2 linked regions of the Notamacropus eugenii genome follow. The protein of the gene in region 2 purifies or fractionates together with the protein of the main gene of each other region. This does not show direct contact. Links are inferred from orthologs where the notes say so. Each region holds a gene or a part of one and is shown on either strand. Other genes may lie near its edges.

Evidence for each region. The genes of interacting proteins can lie anywhere in the genome.
Region 1: the proteins of SIRT1 (region 2) and FOXO3 purify together in Homo sapiens (affinity purification with western blotting; 4 studies listed by BioGRID and IntAct, with this or other methods). This does not show direct contact. The link is inferred for Notamacropus eugenii from reciprocal best matches to the Homo sapiens genes SIRT1 and FOXO3.

Annotation. Positions count from the first base shown.
Region 1 is NC_092873.1:188,223,565-188,231,250, forward strand, and holds the start of FOXO3 (forkhead box protein O3), read left to right. Parts: upstream 1-4,585; 5' UTR 4,586-6,327; coding exon 6,328-7,005; intron 7,006-7,592; exon of another isoform or gene 7,593-7,686. UniProt on the Homo sapiens protein: Transcriptional activator that recognizes and binds to the DNA sequence 5'-[AG]TAAA[TC]A-3' and regulates different processes, such as apoptosis and autophagy.
Region 2 is NC_092872.1:261,064,400-261,071,631, reverse strand, and holds the start of SIRT1 (NAD-dependent protein deacetylase sirtuin-1), read left to right. Parts: upstream 1-4,148; 5' UTR 4,149-4,229; coding exon 4,230-4,596; intron 4,597-7,232. UniProt on the Homo sapiens protein: NAD-dependent protein deacetylase that links transcriptional regulation directly to intracellular energetics and participates in the coordination of several separated cellular functions such as cell cycle, response to DNA damage, metabolism, apoptosis and autophagy.

The sequences.
Region 1 (7,686 bases), on a different chromosome or scaffold from region 2:
CCTATGTATAATTTATATCAGATTGCTTTCGTTCTCAGTGGGTGGGGGAACAGCTGGAGGGAGGGAAGATGGAACTCAAAACATAAAAAAAAGAATGCTAAAAATAAATAGATAAAAAAATAAAATAAATGGAGATTGGAGGGCAAGATTTCCTTTAGCTTGGAGGTCAGGAAGTATGAATCAGGGAAAGGCTTCATAATGCACCTGAACTGAGCTTTGAAGAAAAAGGCAGCATTGTGGAGGGAGGCCTCCCAGGCATTAGTACAAATGGTCTGCACAAACTGAATAGGAATTCCTGGACACTTGGAAAGAAATGTTTCATATTTCAAGTACAATGTGCTATTAAGAGTAACAACTTCTGACAATGTTTCAACCTTAACAGTATGCAATAGGGCATCTCAATCATCTTTTTGTGTCTCAAAGGAGTGTCTCACTGATAACACACAAGGAGACATTGGAGGTCTTGGACTGCAGCCTCTAACAGGTTCACTCTTGATCTGGTCAGACAGGCAGGCAGCTTCTGGGGGATTAATAATCAGCTTTATTCTATTCTAGTCTTCTCAAAGGGTTGTGGGAGAACCAGCTCCTACAGCACTCCCTAATCACCCTTCTTGAAGGGGTCAATCCAGACAGGCACACTTCTGCTTCCCTTAAATCCCCTCAAGCCTCCATGGGGGCCAGTTGAGACACACAAACTCCCTGTGCCTTTTCCCCCTCTATGGGTTTCTCCCCATTCACTGAACAATGCCCACTTGCTTTTATAGGGACAAAGACAGGCAACTTGCCAACATTAAGCTCACAGGTAACTTTAGCAATATAATCGTTCTGGGCAAGTGCAGTAAATATCAATTATGTCACTCCCATTTCTCATGGTGCAGCCTCAGTAAGACTGTCTGTCACTATGATTCTAAGAACTATTATCTAGAATCCTTGGGACCATTCTGGGAGTAACTATCTAATAACTATCTAACACCTGTAAACTAGACATTCACATGGCCATGGATCCTGAGAAACTAAAAGGATAACAAAAACCTCCTTACATACAGGAGAATAGCTTTTAGTTTCATAGGTAAATTGCTAGAAGGAATCTTAGAAATAATTGAATCCAAACCCTCTACCTCTGTGAGTTATCTTCAGGAAACTAAGACAGAGAGGTTAAGTGACTGTTAATAAAGGGGCAGAAGGTGGACTCAATTGAACCTAGATCCTGACTCTAGGATTACTCCCCTTTCCCACTGCCCCAGGTTAGGAGTCAACTTTCAGAAAAGGAGTGAAAGAAGAGGTTGAACCCAAACCACAGAGGCCTTGAATTCCAGGCTAAGTCTTTTATATCTTATCTGGTAGACCAAGAGGACAGATAAGGTGCACTGGAGAGAGCATGGGGCTTGAAGTCAGGAATATTTGAGTTCAAATCTGGCCTCAGACACTTACTACGTGACCCTGGACAAGGCACAGTTTCTTATCTGTAAAATGGAGACACATGGGGGAAGGAAATGGCATAATCTTTGCCAAGAAAACTTGTGCTTATCCATGGGGATCAGGATGAGTCAGAACAAGCCATGAGAATCTACTAGGGGCTTTCTAGCAGCCATAGGGCTCTACTAAAACTGTTACTTCAAGGTTCTTTGAATCACTCCCAGGATGAATGATAGAGGGTTAGTGAAGAAATATTAAATGCTCTCAAAATATTGAAACTGGAACCGACAAAGTATCTGGAAACCCAGAGGTTCTTTTCAAAGTTTAGAAAAAGGAGTTACAGGGAGAGTGCAGAAGGAGGAAAGACACCCCTCCATTAGGTTTGAGGTCCTGTCAAATCCTTTTGAACTTGAAATCCTCTCTGATCCCAAGTTCAAACTTTTCCAATCACGACCACCCACTTGGGCACTGAGATTTCCCTTACGTCACCAATGCTTTCTGGCCACGTGGTGGCCACATGTAAAAACAAGAAAGCGGTGACATAATGGGGCAGTCACGCCAACCACGGGCGTTGTAACAGCGATCTCGAGTTAGGGAGATGGATTTGCCCGATGCCTATGGAGGAAAACCGTGGCTACAGCGGCTCGGAACAGCTTCTTTTGCAAGTCAGAGCTTAACTTCACTGGGGACCCGGGTGAGGCTCCGCAGGCTGAAAGAAGCCCCTCCAGATCTGCTAGGAAAGGGGGAGAAGACGCCTCTGCTCCCCTGTGAATGCCACACACCTAAGGGGGAGACTTGGGGGGTGGGGGCCGGCAGGCGAGATGGGAGTGGGCGGTGGGAGAGAGTGAAGGAATGGGAGGGAGAAAAGGACAGAAAAAGACGAATGATACGGAGCTAAGGGAGGGAGGGAGATTCGCAGAGAGGAGGAAGGAGATATGGAAAGAAATAAAGGAGGGAGAGAGAGGGGAGGAGAAAGGGAGAAGGGGGGGGAGAGAGAGAGAGATTGGGAAAGAGGTAGGAGAGAAAGACCGTGAAGAGGAAGGAAGGACTGAGAGAAAGGGTACCGGGAGATGCGGGGAGAGGAAGGGGATACAGACAGACACACACTAACTCTCTCTCTCTCTCCCCTCCCCCCGGGGTGGGGGGCGGGCGCGAGCACTTCGGCTTCCCCCAGCCAGCCCGAGGCTGCTCCACGAGTCCCCTCCCCTGCGCGCCACCGCCAGCACAACATTCCATTTATAAATAACCCCCACGTGTGCTGGTAAATAAGCGCGCGGCGCGTAACTCGCGAGGCTCCCGCCGAGCATGCGCCGGCACGCCCGCCCCTCCCCTCCGCACGTGTCCGCCGACTTCCCTAGCGCCGCCCAGCTGCACTCAGTCCCCTCCCCGAGATTCCGCTGCCCTCCCACTGCTGGCCCCCGGGGCTTTGGACACCGCCCCCTAGCTCTGGGCTCGCCAGCCTCCGGGGTCCTAGAGCTAGCCCAGGTTCTTGGCGTGCCGTGGGGAGCGCTCTGCCGCCCAGTCCTCTCTCTTCAGGAGGCGCAGGCAGAAAAAAGAATCTTTCTGGCTCGCGCGCTCTTTTTTCCTCCTCCATCCCACGGTTCCTTAGGATTTTACTCGATTGTTTATTATTGGCGGGGCGGGGGAGGGGAGTGGTGGAAAGGGGCGGGAGATGGGAGGCCGGAGACTGGAGCCTAGGCGCCTGGGCCAGTCAGAGTGCGGCGGGGCTTGATGGGTGAGACGAGCAGCGAATGGTGGCGCGGCAGACGGCGCGGCGGTCACGCGCTTATTGATACAATGACATCATCTGTTTGTACGCGTCGAACTAGCTTGGTGCAGGGGCGGGAGCGTACGTCACTTGAGTGACTGACCCTCCGCCAAGCTCGGAGTCCTCGGGCGCCTCCTGCTTGGGGAAGTGGAGGTGGGGCCGGGGACGGGAGCGGGGTGGAGGGGCGCGGCTTGGCTGGCAAAACCCAATGGATGCGCTTTTGGACAATTTCGGATTGCTAATGGGCTCGCGGCTCGCGTGTTCCCAAGAACTTCCCTGAGACTTTATGTAATGACAATAATAAATAACGTGTGTGACTGAAGACAATCTGATATTTCATTTCCACTTAGTACATGTAAAGAAGTGCACAAGTAACCTGGCGTCCAGCTTTAGGCTCACGTCCCTAATGCAAGGAATGAGTGGTGAAAGATGTTTGCCGGAGAAAAATCTATTTAGAAATGGAGCGAACATACGTAATTACCATATTAAATGTTGTACTATGTTATAGTATAAATATTAAATACAGCACAAATACTGTATTAGAGCAACTTGAAAGTCTATTTTCCAACAGCTTGTGACTATCTGCTTCTGCTTTTCCATTCAAGTATTGTTCTGTCGGTACTAATTACTTCGTTCCTCTCTTCTTCTCCCGCCTCCCCTCCTCACCCCCCCGCCATAAAACCCATTCAAAGGAAACCTAGTTTTCTTCATGAATAATCGTGTATAAACTAGCATCTGGACTAGTGTGCCTACGTGTTGGGGAGCCCGCGAGGGCCCGTACATTAAATCAAAGGGTTTCTGTTTGTATCAGTCTGTGCGAGTGGCAATCTCTTCCTCGTGGTGTCATGCAGTATATGCGGTGGGTCCCTTAACCCCCGGCCTAATCACTCGTGCAAGTCTTCAGCCAACGTCTTAGTAAGGAAAAGAGCAGTTATCACATCTCTCATCTTCTCTGGAGCTCATTAGGACATGAACACTGAATCTCCTCCAGAGTGCACATGAAGGAGCTCTCAACTGTGGGTTCCAACTGTACTGGATCCTGTGTCCCCAGCTCCACGGAAGTCCTGAGTGAAATTCCCAAAAAGCAAAACACTTTTACACCAGGTCGTAGTTTTCTGGTTATTGGGAAGTGCGGCCGGAGAGATACAGGGAGAGACTGACACTTTGTAGCTTGCAAGCGAATCCATTCTTGCCCTTGCGGGAACGTTCCTGGTAATAAAGATCTCAGCAAAGTTTCTCAGCTCTCGGTTCCCCTCGAGCTTTCTCCTCCCCTTCCTTGTCCAGCGTGGGCGCGCACGCACACACACACACACACACACACACAGACACACATCCCCCCCGCTGCCTGCCTTCTCGGTCCTCCCTCCCCCTGGGCGGGGACCTGTCTGCTGTCAGCTTAGGTTGAGGCTCCCTGCGTGTGTCTATAACTTTGTGTAGCTGCTGCTGCTGGTTGTTAGGAGAAGGAATGTGGAAGTCAGCAGTGTGGAGGGTGACAGGCTGCCCGTGCAAGCTGCAGGAGCGGCAGCAGCAAAAACCTAAACCCTTCTCCCGCGCAGATTCTTCGCTTTCTCTTTTTCGCATTTTTGGGAGACGTGCAGAATTTTGCATTCTCCCCCATCGTTTTTAAAGGGAAGGTGCCGCGGTAGACACAGGAACTATGCAACGGGGTTGCTGCTTTTCTCTCCTGTGACTCCGGATCTGTTTTTGAACAAGCTCAGGTTCTTCCCTTTCCCCTCCCCTTGACTTTGTCTTTTTCTCCCCCTCCGCCGTCTTCCCCAATCCGCCCCCTTCCTCTCCCTTTCTCCCTTTCTAGTGTTTTTTAAAGGACTTGAGTGAAGGGGGGTGGGGGGAGAACTGTCAAGATGGCAGCAGCAGGAGCAAGGAGGTTATGAATGTGTTAGTACTGGATCTTCTCGCAGCCTTAGGGAAGACTTGAAGCTTCCAGACCTGTTGGAAGATTTTTGCTTTGATTTGCCTTTTTTTCTTGAGAGGCAAACGACGTCAGCAAGAACATTGCAAAACAAAACACCAAAGTGGTTTTTCCTTGCCCAGTTCAGCTTCTTGCGAACAGCCTCCGTTCTATTCTTTTGATTTTTGAAAGTATCTCGGACTGGACGGGCATGAATTTAGATGCATATTAACCCTTTCCTGCCTCTGAGTCGGAACGAGGAGAGAAAGGGAACTGAGGGCGAAAAAGTCATCGTGGTAATGCGAGAGCTCTAACCTCGTCTACGGAAGCAAGAAAGAAGCCTGAGCTGCTCTCTGATGGATACAGTGTAATTTCTGTGGTGCGGGTGCCTCGTCGTCGGTGGGAGGGTGGAGGTCCGAGAAAGATCGGAAGACGCTACAGACTTCTCTCCCCTGCCACAGAAGGAAGCACTTCTCTGTCTGCATGGAGTGAAATATAAACAAACACACACACTCCCAGTAGCAGAGCAGGCACCGAGCTGCACCACTCAATTGCGTTTGGCTTCTCCTCGCTTTAAAGGGACAACCCTCCCTCCCCAGTACCCTCCTCCTCCACCTCCTCACTTCCCCCTCCCCCCTCCTTCTCTCACTCTTCACCCCCACCCCTCCCCCTCCCTCCTCCGCCCTACCTTCCTCCCTTCTTCCACGCCCCAGCCACCTTGTCCAGGAGAGACCTGCCTATCTGACCGCAGCTGGGGGAGGGGGTTGCCCCATCCGTGCCTAATCCTCCGATTGTCTCCACCCCCACCCCTCCCACCCCCCCGCACCCTCAGGCGGCGGCTGCTTTGGACTGGGAGTCGCTCGCTCTACCAGGTTCACGGGAAGGGACGTTTCCAGGTCTGCCTGTTCCCCTGGCTTGGCGAGGTACTGATCTGGGAAAAGGAGGCGGCGGCAGTCAAGGTCCGCCAGGGACTTCATTCCAGCTCAGGATAACCAACTCTCTCCCCTGTTTCCCTCCTTTTCTCCCCCACCCCCCAGCCCTCCTCCCCGCAGGCTGCGATCCTGATCCCTTAGCCCGTTCTCCCCCCCTCCCCTCCTTCCCTCCCCCACTTTACCCCGCCCCAGCGAGAGAGCCAGGAGGAGAACCACCGCTCGAGCTAGAGAGCGAGCGAGGGAGAGAGCGAAGGAGCGAGCAGCAGCAGGCAAAAGGCAGCCCGAGGGCCCGGGCGGCGAAGATGGCAGAGGCGCCGTCCTCCCCGGCCCCGCTCTCGCCCCTGGAAGTGGAGCTGGACCCGGAGTTCGAGCCCCAGAGCCGGCCCCGCTCCTGTACGTGGCCCCTGCAGAGGCCCGAGCTGCAGGCGAGCCCGGCCAAGCCCTCGGGGGAAGCGGCCGCCGACTCCATGATCCCCGAGGAGGAGGACGACGAGGAAGACGACGACGGAGGCTGCGGAGCCCCTGGGGGCGGCGGAGGAGCCGGTACGGCCATGGCCATGGGCGGCGCGGGCGGCGTCCTCGGCCCGGGACTGCGCCCCGAGGAGGCGGCCCGGCTCCTGGCCCCGGGAGGGCAGGACTCGGGGTCCGGCGCGCCCCCCGGGGCAGGCGTGCTGAGCGGGGGGCAGCAGGCGCCTCTGCAGCCTCCGCAGGCGCCGCTGCCGCTGCCCCCTCCGCCGCCGCCGCCGCTGCAGCCGCAGCAGCCGCAGCAACAGGGGGCGAGCGGGGCCGCGGGGCAGCCGAGGAAATGCTCCTCCCGGAGGAACGCGTGGGGAAACCTTTCCTACGCCGACCTGATCACCCGGGCCATCGAGAGCTCCCCGGACAAGCGGCTCACCCTGTCCCAGATCTACGACTGGATGGTGCGCTGCGTGCCCTACTTCAAGGATAAGGGAGACAGCAACAGCTCCGCGGGCTGGAAGGTGCGTACGGACTAGCCCCCCAGGGGGGATCGGGAGGGAGGCACGGCAGTACTTTAACCAGCGCTTTCGCAGGTGGCAGAAGCAGTTTGAGAGGTTGCAGATAAGGTGGTGTATGTGTGGAGGGGGTGTCGTACGTATATGGAGAGAGGAGGATGGAGGAGATGGGGTGTAGCAGTGCATTGGGATGCAATGGGAAGGGTGTTGTTGAGGATGAGGGAAAGGGATGGTGATGCGCAAGGAAAAATTGGAGTGGTGGAGTCTAAAAGAGCTCCCTGGGACGAATTCCGGAGTTGGGAGAGGTTAACGAGTAAATGGGTGGGTACCGGGGAGTTTAAAAACGGAAAGGTGGATCTTACCGAATTCCCTGGACAGCTCTGAGGCAGGTAGGTGGGAAGGGGGCCAACTTCATTTGGTGATGATTACATGATAAGAAGAGAGAGAGGGAGAGAAAGAGAAAGAGAGATAGATAGATGTGTGTGTGGCCCAATCGTCCGGAGAGATGTGGGAACATAGAACAGGATAGGTGAAGAAGGTGGATTTTGGGTTCCTTGCACTGCGGAGTTAAGTGTATCGTTCTCTGAAGATAATGGGTGTCTACATGTAGTATCTTGGCACACCGTCATTGATCTAATGAGACAACCTGTGGCCATTAGGTTTAAATACAGATAGCAATTGTGACAT
Region 2 (7,232 bases):
AGCATTGAAATGCTACTGAAGAGAGTGCAACTCTGACTGACTGGCCGCGTTGTTCAAACGCCAAACGTACATTTGCCTAAAAGATTGTTTTATGGAGAACTCATGCAAGGCAAGGGCTCACACGGTGGTCAGGAGAAGTGATACAAGGACACTTTCAAGGTCTCTCTGGCAAAGGATGGCCTAGAATGGCATACCTGCATCAAAGAAGGTGCTGTGCTCTATGAAGGAAAGAGAATTGCAGTAACTGAAAAGAAAAGAAAAATGAGAAGTATGAGTTTAGAGATACCTCTACTCCAAATGTTCATATGAACTCTTTGTGCCCAACCTATGGTAAAGCCTTCCTAGCTTACATCAATCTGATCAGTCACAGTCAGATATACTTAACCCCAACAAAGTGATGATATTTTGGTCATTTTTGATTAAGTTGCTTGGTTGTTGTCCTTCATTCTCAAAGAGGACCATTACAGTGTGTCTGACTGTGGCTGACGAGACAAATACAAGCTGAGAATGCTCCACTGCAGGTCAGGCACAAACAGTTCATGTGAACATTTGGGGGTGTATCCTAATTTGTATATCCTGCATTTCCTTTGAGCTGTCTCAACTGTGCTTCGCTCACAGAGCACAGCACCTTCTCTGATGTGGGCACCCCATGCTGAGCGGTTCAGTGCCAGTGTCTCCCATGTCGCATAAAGGACAACAAGCAACCAATAAAGGCTTCGTCAATATCAATACCATTGGTATTCCTCAATTCCAGGCTGCTCAGCTCCTTTTAATTCCACTGCCTAGTTAAGTACTCTGCATATAGTACCCATTTAATGTCTGTTAAATTAAGATGAATTGAAAGGAAGAAAGTATAGGACTTTATAATAGACAGAGAATGAGAAAAAGGAGAGGAAAGATTCAAAGATGATTCCAAAGTGCTGTGTTGGAGAAAATGGTAGGAGTACCAAACTAATAAAACTGGGAATGTTGGGAATGTGGCCACATTAGGAAGGACAACAATGACTCTATGGTTGGAGTTTGAAGGGACCTTGGAACCCATCTAGTCCAATCGATTCATTTTACACAGGAAGAAACTGAAGCCCAAGAAGACAAAATGACTTACCAAGGGTCCCCCAATGGTACAGCAAAGTCTAATAGTGAGTTTCAGGTGACAGCTGGAAGTGGAGGCCTAGTTTAAAGGTCCAGGTCCTTGGTCAGGGTTGGGAAGAGACATTTATGATCCATCACCATGGAAGTAGTGAAGGTGAGGTACCAAAGAATGTGATGAATAAAAGAGTGGGAGAAGGAAGCAAGTAGGTAAGAAAGGAAGAGAAAGAAAGAAGGCTTACAAGAAAGTAGGTAAGAAAGGTCAAGAATCAAATCTTGGGAGATAGCTACAATTATGGGACAGGAAGAAGGAAAGGAAAGAAGTCATCAGGCAGCAGGAGAAGAATGAAGAAACAACATTTTGCTTTAATTTATCTCTAATCCTTTAACTTTTGAGAAAACAAAATACTATCCCTCCCATTTCTGGGAGTTAAATCTTCATTGGGCGGCTTGGTGGTGCAATAGAGAGAGTGCCAGCCTGGTATTCTAGACTCCTAATTCAAATATGGCCTCAGACACTTAACAAGCTGTATTACCCTAGGCAAGTCACTTAACCTCAGATTCCTTATCTGTAAAGTGGAGAAAAGAATAGCTACCTCCCAGGGCTATTGTGAGGATCAAATAACATGAAAATTGTAAAGCATTTAGCACAGCACCTGGTGTATAATAAATGTGAGCTATTATTAGTCAGTCATATAATTCAACAATTTCATGTAAATAAGCTTTAATCCTGAGCAAGACCCATCTTTTTCCTTAGATTTAAGCAAAATTAGAAACTCTGGATTTCTACTTAAACTTGAACTGATTGAGAGTGAAGTGGCTATTGGCATGAGTTGGGAGATTGATTTGCCCAGGAACTACATCACTGTTTCTTGTTCTTACAAAAATCTCAGTATTAGAATTCAGAAACCTCCTGTAAAACTGATGGCTTGTTATTTACAATAACTGTAATTATTTTATTTTTACATAAATATTTACTTAAATATTATACATAAATATTATTTTATACATATTATATTTATATGTTACTATTATTTTAAGATGCTAGGATCATAGATTTAGGGATAATAGAAGGGACCTTTGAGGTCATTTAATACAACTACCTCATTTTGCAGAGGAGGAAACTGAGGTCCAGAGAGCTAAGATTACCTGTCCCAGGTCACAAATGTAGTAAGTGCCAGAGGCAGGATTAAAACCTAGCTCTTCTGATCCCAAATCTGGCCACTTTTCCATTGCCCCATGCTATAACCCAATTCACCTTTCTGGGTCTCTGCTTCCTCCTCTGTAAAATGAAGGGGTCCATTTAGATGAGGGGGTTCTGACCCTCTGTGTCATAGAGACAAGTTCATGGACCTCTTGAAATGGAACCATGACCCCCAGTAAAGAACTCTTCTTTTCAGGCCCTAAAATCTTCCCCATTATTTAAATCCTCTGGTTTTTTGCAAAAGTACTTTTTTTCAAGGAAATATGCTTAATCAAATATACAAAGAAACAAGGAAATCTAGGGTCACAATTGAATACAGTATTTATACCATATTGTCCTTTTTCAAATTTCAAAAATCAAGATTTCATCCACCTTGGTTTTCTCCCCACTGCCGCAGAAAGCAATGAGAAGATCCCAGATTTAGAGCTGGAAGGGATCTCAGGACTCACGTACTCCAACCTTCTCATCTGACAGAGAGTAGGGAAAGTCAAACGATCTGATGGTCATGAAAACATTCAGTGACCAGGTCCTCTGCCTCCCAATCCAAGACTCTTCATTCTCTCTCAGCACACTGAAGGAGAAGGCATTGAGTTACTAGGACCAAAAAAATCATCTCCTGGTGGTGGGCAGGCTCCTGGGGATCATCGTTTAAGCTAGGCTATTCCTCAGTGGTACTTGGGGCGCCTTGAGCTTGGCAGGACCTGTAGAACACCTGTATGTCCGCAGCCCTCACCCGAGGACAGCACTCCACACCAGGTGCCTGGACCTGCTCTTTCCAGCCTGTCTTCTGATCCGTCCTTCCCAGGACCACCACAGGTCTTTTGTACAGCAGACATACAGGGTCTCCTCCTCCTCCTCCACTCTGCCCAGCCTCCTCTCCAAAGCACCCTGCCCTCTCATTTCACCAAGGGGTCTCCTTGGCAGGACTGTCGTCCTTTCGCTGTTCCATTCTCGCCCGCTCTGCAGCGCTCAGCGCACGCAGCAACTCCTCCTGGAAGTCCTCCTCGCTTGCCCTTCTCTAATGCATAGATTGGGTGATTCCTTGGCACTCGGTAGTTGCGATTATTGGTCTTTGTATCGCGCCCTCCTCTGAGATCTGCAGCTCCCGGAAGGCCGGGGGGAGGTCTTTATCTTGGAATTGTGCGCGGCGCTTAGACTCGCGTGTCCCAGCTCCAGGAGCCCAGGAAGCCTCTTCCCCCGGGAGCGGGGCGGGGGTGCACCCCAGTCTTTGCCGCGGCAGCCCCGATCCCTGCGCACTGCGCAGCTCCGGCGCCGGCGGGCTCTGGGGCGCCTTGGGCCGGGTCCCTCTGCCTTATGGCCCGGCCCCTGGAGCAGAGCCCTTCCAGGACGGGGCAGTTCAGGGATGCGCGTAGTAGGAGCGCAGGGAGGGGGCAGAAATGACTTTTTCTTTCTTTTTCCACTTAGGGTCGGACACGTCCCTTCGGAGAAATAAGACCAAACTTGCGCGCGCGCCAGAGATGGGAGAAGGGGGTGGGGGTGGGGACCTGGGGAGGAGGAGAGCGGGGCGGACGGCGCGAGCCAGGCACACGCCGGGCGGGTCCGGACCAGCGCGCGCGCGCCCGCGGGCCGGCCCGAAGCCGGAGCCCCGCCCCGTCCGCCCCTTCTCCGCCCCCCCCCCCCCGCGCGCCCTTGCGCCGGGCCACGTGACCCATTTTGTTGTGGTCCCGGCCCGCGTGGGTGTCAGTGGTGGTCAGGCCGAGGGGGGGAGGGGCCGGGAGGGGCGGGGCGGGGCCGGGCGGCGCGGGTCACGTGACTGGGGTTTAAATCTCCCGCAGCCGGCGCGGCGGGGGCGCCAGAGCTGCTGCTGCGCGTCTGCTGAGCGGGTGGGCGGGGGCCGGCGGCGGAGCGCGGGCGGCGGAGGCGGCGCCGAGGCCAGGCCCAGGCCCAGGCCCAGGCGGGCGGGAGGCGGTTGAAGATGGCGGACGAGGCGGCGCTCGCCCTGGAGCCCGGCGCGGGCGGCGCAGGTCCCGCGGAGCCCGGCGGGGAGCCGCTCAGCAAGCGGCAGCGCAGGGACGGCCCGGGCCCGGGCCCGGGGGCGGAGCGGGCCGGCGGGGCGGGGAGCCCAGGCCTGGAGGCGGCGGCTGCCCCTTTCGGGGAGGCCGCGGCCGCCCCCGGCGGGGACAATGGACCGGGCCCTCGGGGCCTGCGGGGCCTGCCCCGGGAGCCTCCGCCACTGCCGGACGACGACGACGACGACGACGACGAGGACGACGACGAGGAGGAGGAGGAGGAAGAGGGGGGCGAGGACGAGGACGAGGCGGCGGCGGCGATTGGCTACCGAGGTGCGCAGGGTCCGGGCGGCCGCGACTGCGCACCGCCCCCCGGGGCCGCCCGAGCGGGGAGGGCCGAGGAGGCGGGGGCCGGGCTCTCACCGCCGGGCCAGGCCGGGCGGCGGGAGGCCCCAAGGTCCACCCCGGGCCCGTGACCTCGGCGTCGGGACTGGCTGGGCTCCTCCCCCTCTCCCGCGCTCAGTGCGGCGAGGTCACTCCTGGTCATCCCCCGCTGCGTTCCCCTCCCTTGGCCTCCTCTGCAGGACCTCCGGTGTTCGGGGCCCCTCCCGCCTACCCCTCTACTAACCTGATCACCTCTTGTGCAGAGGCTGGCTTTTCCGCAGCCCCGGGCTGCTTGACGAGGGGTGGGTTCGGATAGCCACCCTCCGCTCCTGCCTGTTTGTTTCTAGTCCTCGTTTTTCAGGGGCTCAAGTTTTATTACCATTATTAATATTTTGGACTCTGCATGTTCAGGAAGCCGGCGTAGCGAATTCTTGCTGTAGATGAAGGTAGACTGGTGGGCAAGGTAAATTGATGTCTCCTAGTTTGGAGGTGACCCCGGGCTCTCCACGTTGGTGCCAAGAGGATCCTAAGCGCCGGCTGGTTGTGTCAGACTGAAAAGGCTTCGTTGTCCCAGCGGACCTGCTTAGGTTGTTGGGAGAAGCCTCCCCCTGAATGGGCTGCAGAGCCATGAATATGGCCACAGCAACTCCCCTACAAAGGGGGTGGAATCCGAGGAGCGAGGGAGTACTCACACCAAGGAACAGATTCTTGAAGTTTAAGAAATATGGGCAAGATCACTGAATGCCAACTTTAACTTAACCTGAAAAACTCCTTTCCCCGCTCTAATCTTATTCTTGCATAGCATCTTCAGCTCGTTACTAGTCTAGCGTTTGGTAAACCAAAAAACACTTTAAAAAAATTTTGAGTGATCCTTATTGTTAGGTGTTCTTTTGGGGAGAGTAGAGGGAAAAGGAATAGTTTAGTTTGTGATAAGTCAATTCACATACAGCCTTTTACTTCTATTGACGTGAAGCTGTTGGCATCATTTAGCATCAGGTTGTTGGCATCAAGTCATTTGATGCTGCTGTCTTTTGAACTTTTGAAGCTGTGTGACTCTGGGCAAATTACTTAAACTGTTTGCCTCAATTTCCTCAACTGTAAAATGGGAATAATAAGTAGCACCTACCTCCCAGAGTTGTGTGGATTAAGTTAGATAATTGTAATAAAGTGCTTAGCACAGTGCTAGGTGCTTAGTGAATGCTATATAAATGTTAGCTATTATTATGAAGGCTTTCTAGATATAATATATATACATATATATACACACACACACATATATATGGAAGACTTTCCAGATGAAGGAAGCAAGTATGTGAATTAACTATTATTTGGTTTACATTTACTTGAAAGCCACTACTTGTAGTCCAAAGAACTCATGTTTGATAGGCAGTCCTGTTTTATAAATTATCAGTGTATTTTTTCCTTTTTGCACTATCTTAGATTCTGTAGTTAGATTGTTAATCTCTGGGAATCTAGAATCATTTCAATGAAAACACGGTGACACTGAATTACTTAACTAATTTAAAATATAGTAAATAATTGGTCTGAAGTCCTTTCACTATGTTTCATTGTTCTGAGGAGATGACCCTGGGTGCCCAGAGACCAGTGGAGGCCAAGCTGGGAGGGTTTGTGTGTGTGTTTGGTTTTTTTTACAGGTGAGGCACTGAACCAGTCTTGCAGCTAAGAACCAGTAAGGAGTTTAGTCCCCAGGTCATTAATGATTTTTAGCTACTAACTTAAGAAACTCTCTGTTTGTTGGAGCTACAGTCTGCCTTGGGAGAGAGTGAAAATACGTATGAGATTACTCTTTTAGAAGTCGTTTGTATTTACTTAGCTTCAAATTTTGCCCCCCTGTACCCATTAGAATGTAAGGGATTGAAGATAGGGACTGGTTTTTTGGTCTGCATGTTTCCAGTGTCTATAACAATGGCTTGCAAATAGACATTTAATAAATAATTTGAAATATTAATTGAACTAGGGAAGATGAAGGAAATAAGCATTTATATAGTGCCTATTGTATACCAAGCATTTTTTACAGTTATCATTTGATCCTCACTACAACCCTAGGAGGTAGGTGCTATTATCTTCATTTTACAGATGAGAAAACTGAGGCAAACAGGTTAAGTGCCTTGTCCAGGGTCACACAGCTTGTAATTGTCAGAGACTGGATTTGAACTCTGGTCTTTCTGACTTGAGTCCCACCACTCTAATATACTCCTCCACCAGCTGCTTCCAGTAAAAAAAATTTTGAGTTCATTTACTTTTGAATATCGTTATAATGGGTCCTTAATAAGATGTCACACTTCCTTTTTGGTCCTGTGATTTCTGGCTGCAGCCAGTTCTTATTGAGGAAACTTCCTTTGTAGATTGTTGGCTAACTTGTTCTCTTAGAGAGCTACCTTTGGCACTGAGAAGTGACCTACAGTCACAGAGCCAAATCTGTCAGACTGAACCCAAACCCAGGTCTTCTGGGCTTGGAGGCCATTTCTTTGGCCAGTATTCTATACCTTCCCTTTGGTCTGCCCCTTTTTAGAGATGTCATCTATTTCCTTTTCTAAGGCATTTTATTTCTCTCTGTTTTGCAG